Neodiprion lecontei: one gene and its partner. The protein of the gene in region 1 binds, or shares a complex with, the protein of each later gene. Links are inferred from orthologs where the notes say so. Each region holds a gene or a part of one and is shown on either strand. Other genes may lie near its edges.

What was found.
Region 2: the proteins of mitochondrial import inner membrane translocase subunit Tim10 (region 1) and mitochondrial import inner membrane translocase subunit Tim9 are in contact, whole or in part, in a crystal structure (PDB 2BSK), measured with the Homo sapiens proteins. The link is inferred for Neodiprion lecontei from reciprocal best matches to the Homo sapiens genes TIMM10 and TIMM9. Residues at the interface, in NP_036588.1 of Homo sapiens: Glu16, Met17, Asp20, Met21, Arg24, Ala28, Cys29, Lys32, Cys50, Arg53, Cys54, Ser56, Lys57, Tyr58, Asp60, Ile61, His62, Arg64, Met65, Gly66, Lys68, Leu69, Leu72; in NP_001291414.1 of Homo sapiens: Lys15, Leu18, Gly19, Tyr21, Asn22, Lys23, Thr25, Glu26, Cys28, Phe29, Leu30, Val33, Asp35, Phe36, Thr37, Thr38, Arg39, Glu40, Val41, Glu45, Thr46, Glu50, Leu53, Leu57.

What each region holds. Positions count from the first base shown.
Region 1 is NC_060266.1:25,977,832-25,981,536, reverse strand, and holds mitochondrial import inner membrane translocase subunit Tim10, read left to right. Parts: upstream 1-1,963; 5' UTR 1,964-2,121; exon of another isoform or gene 2,122-2,157; intron 2,158-2,388; 5' UTR 2,389-2,564; coding exon 2,565-2,858; 3' UTR 2,859-3,201; downstream 3,202-3,705. Other genes in the region: enhancer of mRNA-decapping protein 3, read right to left, coding at 82-227, 346-596, 682-839.
Region 2 is NC_060265.1:19,686,261-19,690,661, reverse strand, and holds mitochondrial import inner membrane translocase subunit Tim9, read left to right. Parts: upstream 1-1,748; 5' UTR 1,749-2,092; coding exon 2,093-2,134; intron 2,135-2,729; coding exon 2,730-2,960; 3' UTR 2,961-3,895; downstream 3,896-4,401. Other genes in the region: G patch domain-containing protein 2, read right to left, coding at 3,896-4,401. UniProt on the Homo sapiens protein: Mitochondrial intermembrane chaperone that participates in the import and insertion of multi-pass transmembrane proteins into the mitochondrial inner membrane.

The DNA of each region.
Region 1 (3,705 bases):
TAATTGTTGTATAGCGCTGTAAGTGGTGTGGGAAAAGGTATGAAAAGTACAGACATCAGATTTATGAAATGCCATAATTACCTCCTTATTGAACAGTGCTAAATTTTTCTCAAAATCAAAGTCCTGCTCCATCGACTGATCTATGGGTGTTCCAAAGGCTTGTTCATCTTTCTCCTGCCATCTTTGTCGTTGCGAACTCCTTTTCTGGTTTTTTGTGCTTATCTCGCCTGGAAATAACAGTTCGGAATTGTAATTTTACTTAAGTATATCCCACAATCTTTTACACTACGATATATCAACTGACAAACGTTAAAATTTTACTACCGAAAGTGCAGGAAATCCTACCTAGATATATTTTTCCATTAGCAGCAGGCTCTGGGTGTGACTGCATAGAATCAAGCGGTTTCCGCGCATTAGATTGCTGTTGAATATCGGAATTAGGAAGTACCAAAGGTGGAATGCATTCAGAAACGGATCTACCAGCTCGTTTTGCAATGGGTCGCCTCACCGTGACTTTGCTCGAAGTCTGAACTTCATCACGGCAATCCTCAGCTTCCTCTGTTGAGATTATTTCTATATGAAGTATGTCCTTGGCACTATAAGGGAATAAAATTAGAATTAAATAATGTAAAAGATATTGTCGTTAACACCTAATCATCACCGATATGATCTAAAACTTACGACAGAACAACTTGCGGAGAGGGGTAAGGTACCCCGTTTCGAAAAGCCTTTGTCAAAGTGACGGTTTGGCCGTTAAGGTCGACAATTTGGCCTTGGTAAGTGCCAAGTGACTCATCGCACTTGACCGACACGGTACACCCTAGGAATTGCGTGGACATTGTATTGTTCTGAAATTGAAAAGGAAGATGAAGAGTGTTGCAGCAGTGTCTGTACGGGAAGTCAAGTAAATATCAGGTATGAAACTGTTTCAAAATGATTCAATGCTTGAAATACATTGAAAATACCATAACGGGTTTCGCAACCCCCTATGAGGAGCAAAAAACGAACTTTAGCAGACTTTGTATTCAACTGTAACCCGGTAAATGCTAATATAATATGTACGAACATCTATGCAGGGTGGATATACCTATTGATATATTATGCTTCGGACTAGAAATAGACGTTTTCGGCTTCCAAGTGCTGGAATACCCAGCCACCCTTTCGACCTGGAGAAGAAAACAATGGTTCTCTGCTTTTCTAGCGACAGGATATCCACCAATACGTAAGCAAAGTCTAGCCGCGCCGAGCTGATGTGATGTAGAGGTAGGTTAGAGCACGTTTATTACATTACCATTTATCCTCTCTTTGCATTTACCTTACGACTGAACTGCTCTACTGCACATCTTACGCGGTCCAGAGGACGCCACTCGACGGCTCGGCGCGTCGTATTTCATCGCACGGGGCACGATGCACGCCCTCCTTGCACATTCGTTGAATAGGATAGTTCGGATGAACGACATTGTCTCGCGTATCGCATACCGGGATGGGCGATCTTAGTAGAAAATAAACACCGGCATCGTGTTTGAATTCTTTATCATCGAACTAGCGATGTTCTTCTGAAAACATCGAAACATGGATTGTTAACACGTCGATGGTGAAAACAAGCGCGAATATTTTAAATGATTCTAGCTACAATGGTAAAAAGGAAAATGAACGCGAAAATTTTTAACTTTCATTATAATTAAAAATAAGTATTAAGTATGAGAATTCAATATAAATTAAATTAAGTATGCAAAAGTAAAATAATTAAATATACAGATTAATAGTGAAACATTTGGTAGAGAACACAGACTTATTATAAAACTTAGTAATGTGTGTTCCGTGTTTATAAATAAGTTACCGAGAATTGTTTGCTCACAAATTTAATTTATTCCCGACTTGACGACGTCGACAATTCAGTATTTTCCATCGACTATCGATGTATCGACGTTAAAAAACACCGATCAAAAACGTCGATGCTCCCGTAAAAAAACATCGATAGTCGAAACATCGATGTATATCCCCCATTCCTATCGCATGCGCTGCATGCATGCGCCATGCCAGCAGGGTGCTGTTTCATTCAGGGATCATCACGGATTCCGACATGGCCTTATCGAAGACGGCAAAAGTCGGCATTGGATGGTAGGTATGTAAATGGACGAATAAGTAACAGTGTAGGTACGTTGCATGCACTTTCGTAAAAGGCAGACAGAAATATGTGCCATTTGCAGAATCGCATCATATTTCATATCAAATTTTTTCAATCTTTGTATTGGATTATACAACATAACCCGTTTAGTACGCATGCATGTAAGCAGCTTTCTTTCGCGGCAGCTATCATTGGTGAACGATCATGTCATCTCCAATTTTCCTCGTGACAGACCATAAAATATAGTTTTTTTTTTCCAGGACATTCGCCGTATTTGGAGGGTTGTACGCTTTTGTCTTGTCCAAACGATCCATAGAACGGAATCGCTATGAAATGATGAAAGCGAGGGAACGTGTACGAAACTCCAACTTTGAATAGACTGACGGAAAAGTTTGTCGAGGCCTGAGCAAAGTTTAGTTTATTATATATTGTAAACATGGCTGGTCTACCGCAGCTTGACGAAGAGAAGCTCAAATTAGTCCAGGATCTAGAAATAGAGATGATGACGGACATGTACAATCGCATGACGTCTGCCTGCCATAGGAAATGCATTCCGCCAAAGTACTCTGAGGCAGAGCTCGGCAAGGGTGAATCAGTTTGCTTGGATCGATGCATCGCCAAGTACTTGGACGTCCACGAGAAAATCGGCAAGATGCTCACCCAGATGACTATGCAGGATGCGGACTCTTTACTAAAGCCGAAAGAAATAGAACAGACTAAAACGGGATGAAGTTAAATGACTTCTATATTGTTACCTAGTTAGTTGTTTAAATCCTAAGTAGTTTCCATAATAGTGTGACATATAAAATCAAAATATATTTATGATGTCAAGTCTATCTGTTTCGCTAGTTTAATTTTGAATTTTCTACAATTTCTACACCATAAGCAGGACTTTCTTCAAATTCTTCCAAGTCCGTGTACTATCATCTAGAAGAAACTATGCTTTGCTCTGCAACTTGTGTTTCTATCCGATTTAATAAATAAGAATTCAATTAATTATCCGTTACTGGATTATACTGTTAATTTGTATTTCTTTGACATTCAACTGCAATTAAACTTGATGATAAAATTAACGTGTCTGATTATGGTTTTTTAATGCTCGACATTGAAAGGTCACAACATTCTTGTTTCGTCGAGTATAATAATTTATGAGCCAAACAGGTGCAGTAACGTTTTGTGAACAGTATATTGATATATGTAACAACGTTGGGTACAGGTAGATGCATTATCCGAGGTACGGTTATCGCACGATTTGCTGTAATAAAAAATATTGTCTTTGGCGTGCAATCGCTCCTATCTTTACAGAAATCCGTGTAAAACATTCAGTCTTTCATGACGCATATTGATTAGGGTTTCACTCTGGGCAGTGTAGCTCCACGAGAGTAATAGATGCGGCAAAACAGTGAACAAGACAGTAAAAAATGTTTACCCCATAGCATAATTTTACCGTTTCATACTGACCCTGCCACTCGAATATCGTATGAAAATATTTAATACCGAGCAAATTGTCTCGGAGGAAACAAAGAATTGATTGTTGTAGCAAGAGGGCAAGTATCAGTACATACCGTGGTACGCTA
Region 2 (4,401 bases), on another chromosome or scaffold:
AATTGGATGTTGGTTTCATTTCTTTACGGCATCTCACCAAAATGAATATAATTAAAGTCAAAAGTCTTATTTCATATTACTTAGTTAATATTTTTCGAATATAGAAATGGAGCCAATACTTTTATAATTTATTCAATAGAAATTAACAAAAAAAAAAATAACAGCAGGCATATTGACGCAATAACCTGTTAAATCTATTGATAATAAAGGCCAAATCAGGCCTATTTATAAATTTGATTAGAGTTCGAAGATGTTTGGAAGTGGAAATTCAGTATTATTGATTTTTTTTTTTTATTGATTTTCTGTAAACATAGTCAAAGATGAAATGAAATATTCTTTAACTACTAGCATGGATATAATTGAATTGATAATTGACTGTATATTTCTCAGGTTAATAAATATGTCGAAATTGGTGAATAAAATTTCGCATAAAATCTAATTAATTAGATTACTGTAAAATAATGCATGATACAGGTTAGTGTGATGATGTGCATACTAATTGACTTGTTTTAATGTCGAGGTTCATTCACTGCCATATTTGAGATGCATTAAAAAATAAATAAAATAAACGAAAAAAAAAACTTATCATCCGTTAATGTCATCACGTGACAGATATGAAAGTTTATAGATTAGCCTGTGAAATAAAGTGGCAGAGAAACAAAATCCATATATTTACCAAAGTGATCTTCAAGCAGCCGATGGTGGCTCTTATCCCACTGAAGAAAACACTGTACAAAACCTCGACATTTTCGGGTTTTAATATACAATTATCACCAATCAGCCAGAGTATTTGTTTGCGAGGGTGAACAACAGTCAATAAGAAACTACTAACTACGTCACAAATATAGGAGAAACCCATAAAGCTGAGGATATACTCGAGGGATCTCGCGTCAGGGTGTGTATACCCACAACCCACTGTTTATGCAATTCAATTTATATGTTTTATTGGCGTTCTGATTACAGAGTTACGTTTAAACCGGGGCGAACGAGGCCGGGACGCCTTCCCGTACGCGCCGCGCTCCGCATCGGCCCGGAAAACCTGTGAAATTTTCACATTAACACCAGAAAATAAATTATCACTCACGACAATAACCTAGCAGGCGCCATGTTTAATTTGATAGTCCCGTCCAGGAAGACTGGAGGGAAGCAGACCGAACTCTAATGCATTTGTGGCGTAAGCTGAACTCCAAAAAGTGTCGTCTAGAATAGTTCTAATTTTTACCACCGTGTTATGTTCGCTGCTGTACATGTTTTACGATCTATAGCATGGCTACACTGGCTGCACCACTCTACATAAGGCTTATTCCCGCGGAGGTAGCATCATCACTAATTTCTATGGTATAACCGGCATAACCACTGATACGTTGACTGAAGTTGTATCACCTGATCTCTATATTCTGCGTCGCGCAACTCAAGTCAGTAAACGGTACTATTCATAGGAAAGACAACAAGAACAACAATAACTAATGTTACCGTGCGCTCCATATACTTAGCCAGTGTGACTACTCGTCAGGCAATTCTGGAACACCTGGAAATGTCATGGAATTCTGAAATTCTCGAATAGTCTGCTATGATAAACAACCGAAAACTACCAACAAGAGGTTTTCTATTCGGGACATTGAATTTCAATGCAATTTACAGTTAATGAGGAGCTGCCGTAAGTTAAATCCGCCGGGATTGGACAAACTCCCGGAACTAGTGCCTAACTGAAGTCGATTTATTTTTATGCTATAAGGGGTGGGGGCAGTCCAAACCACGATTCATACCATACGAATAAACATTTGGAGGGGAGTACTTTTAACTAACTTCAGACATGGAAATGCAGTAAATTGAACCATCTCTGATCCTAACGTGCAAGAATACCGATTTTACACATAATTTGTATTTGCCAACTCTTTACATCAGCTGTAGAAATATTCTAAACCCAAAGATTGACTAGATAAATTCGGAGTTTCTTATTGACCAGTAAAATTCGCAACTTCCACGTATAACATTGCCACAGTTTTATTGGGACGTACTACTAATGAAATATCTTGTTGGATTTGCGAATCCTTACTTAACATTCTAGTCAATCAAAACTTGAATACTAAAAATGGAAATGCCGACTGAAGTTGATGCGGAGCAAATCAAGTCGGCAAGTATTCGTTTTATGTGTCAAAATACATGCGACTGAGTGAGGACCACTTCAATTCTGAACTTCTCAAGGGTCTCAAATTTGAATATCAAAAAGTATAAGAAAATCCTCTATGGGAACCGAATTCCATGTCAAGTCTTATATCTGTTATATTACGCTTTGATTTGTTATTACGGTAGACATCATCTGCAGTCATAATATTTTTAGGTTATCGTTTGTCCACGTTGCTAAGTTTTGAATTCACTAGCTTGTTTTAAAGGACTAATAATTCCTTAACAACTCTAACGTAACCCAAATATTCGAACGTATTCCCAAATTGAGTTCAAGAAAGTTGTCATTCTATGTAACACTTGTTCATATGAAGGCCAATCTAGATTATGTATAATAGAGTTACCAATATCTTGTACCGTTGAAGTAAAATTACGAATGTTGATCTATTACAACTTTCAGCAAAAGTAATTTAAACGTACTTTCGTCTTGTCCTACAGTCTGGTAAAAATTCGAAGTGTAACGATATAATTAATCGTTTAAATTTGACATAGTAAAATATTTAATAAAACATATTTATTATTGGAATAATTTTATAACTTTTCAGTTTAGAGACTTCTTGACATCATACAATAAGCTATCGGAAATCTGCTTCATTGACTGTATAACCGATTTTACAACACGAGAAGTGAGAACCAAAGAGGAGAAATGTGCGCTGAATTGTATGGAGAAATATATGAAGATGAATCAGAGGGTCTCCCAACGCTTTCAAGAATTTCAGATGATAGCCAATGAAAATGCAATGGCAGCAGCTAAAAAATTAGGTCAATTACGCTAATAATACTACATTTATTTTTGGTCATTTAGAATTTTATCAACAAGTGCTCCTCGTTCTATGTTATATGCTATTAGTATATCAAAAACGTCTTACTATATGAATAAACTAACGCATGAATTTTATAGAAGTAGTAGTGTATTTATTGTTATATTATGTTTTTAAACATAACTTCCACCATTGGCCCATCTTTCATGAACGAGTTTTCAAAAACCCTAATAGAAGATGATAATAATTAACATATACAGTATTCCAGACTGTACTGTAGGTAACAACTTAACACTATAGTTATAAATTATTATAATCATTATTTCAAGTGATATTCCAAAAATAAATGACCGGAGATCTACTTACACCTCAAAAAAAACTGATATACATCTTCGAGGAATTCTTGGGCATGTTTCATCAAGATCTGGTTTAGGCACAAAAATGTACAGAAGTATAGTTCATGAGACATGTAACTGTTGTTCTGGTAAACCTTAGTATATCAAATGCTTGTAAATAATATTTCTTTATGTAACTGTTCTTTACAGGCATTCTTACAAATGTTTTAAAATATAATTCAAACACAAGACAGGATTGTAAGTTTCTCTTTTTATACAACTAAATACCGGTGAAGCGAACGGAATTTTCTGATAGAATGAGAAAAATTACGAAATTCCGGAAAAAACTGCACAGAACGTCAGCAGATAATAGCGAAGTTTAATGAATTCACAAGAAGGGGACGGAAAAATAAAATCGGCTACATTTCTTTTCGCAATGTCATTGATTTTCGCCTTTGATTATATTCAACCATGCTATCAAGGTGCGATGGAGCTTGATTTAAGTTTGAATTATACTTACAAAAACTGGTTTATGACTGTAAAAATCGGCGTTTTCAGAGAATTGTCATTATGCAAGAACATATGTGTAGATTCGTAATAAAATCTCTATAACATTTAGCTAGATTTGGAGTGACCAAAGCTATGAAACTTTGGTTTTATTTGCAGGTCTGTACTTGGTATATCCCAGCCAAAGTTTACAGTTTGTGTCAGGCTCTCGACAGAGCCAATACCCTGTATTTGGTTTGTAATTTGTGTACCAAAATTCACACTTGAAATAGGTAGCTCATTCTCCTGCATTTCCGAATCAGGATTTGGCGAATTTGGTGGAGTCTTTCGTAGCCTTTTGTAATCGGATATTCTATTCAGAGAAACTTGATCGACGCAAATGGCTTGGGTCGTATGGCGAGTTTTGTATAAAATTGGACAACTCAAATCACCCTTCAAACTTAAGCTGTACAAATTGGCAAGCCTTCGTAGTTTTTCACGCTCAGGCTGTCGCATTGGATGCAGCTTTAGTTCACTTTGGCTAGGGTCCTGTAGAAACCTTGAAACTTTTTCGTTCGCCGAAGTTATTATAGAATAACCAGGCTTATTATCCACACGGCGTCGCCCAGCTCGAA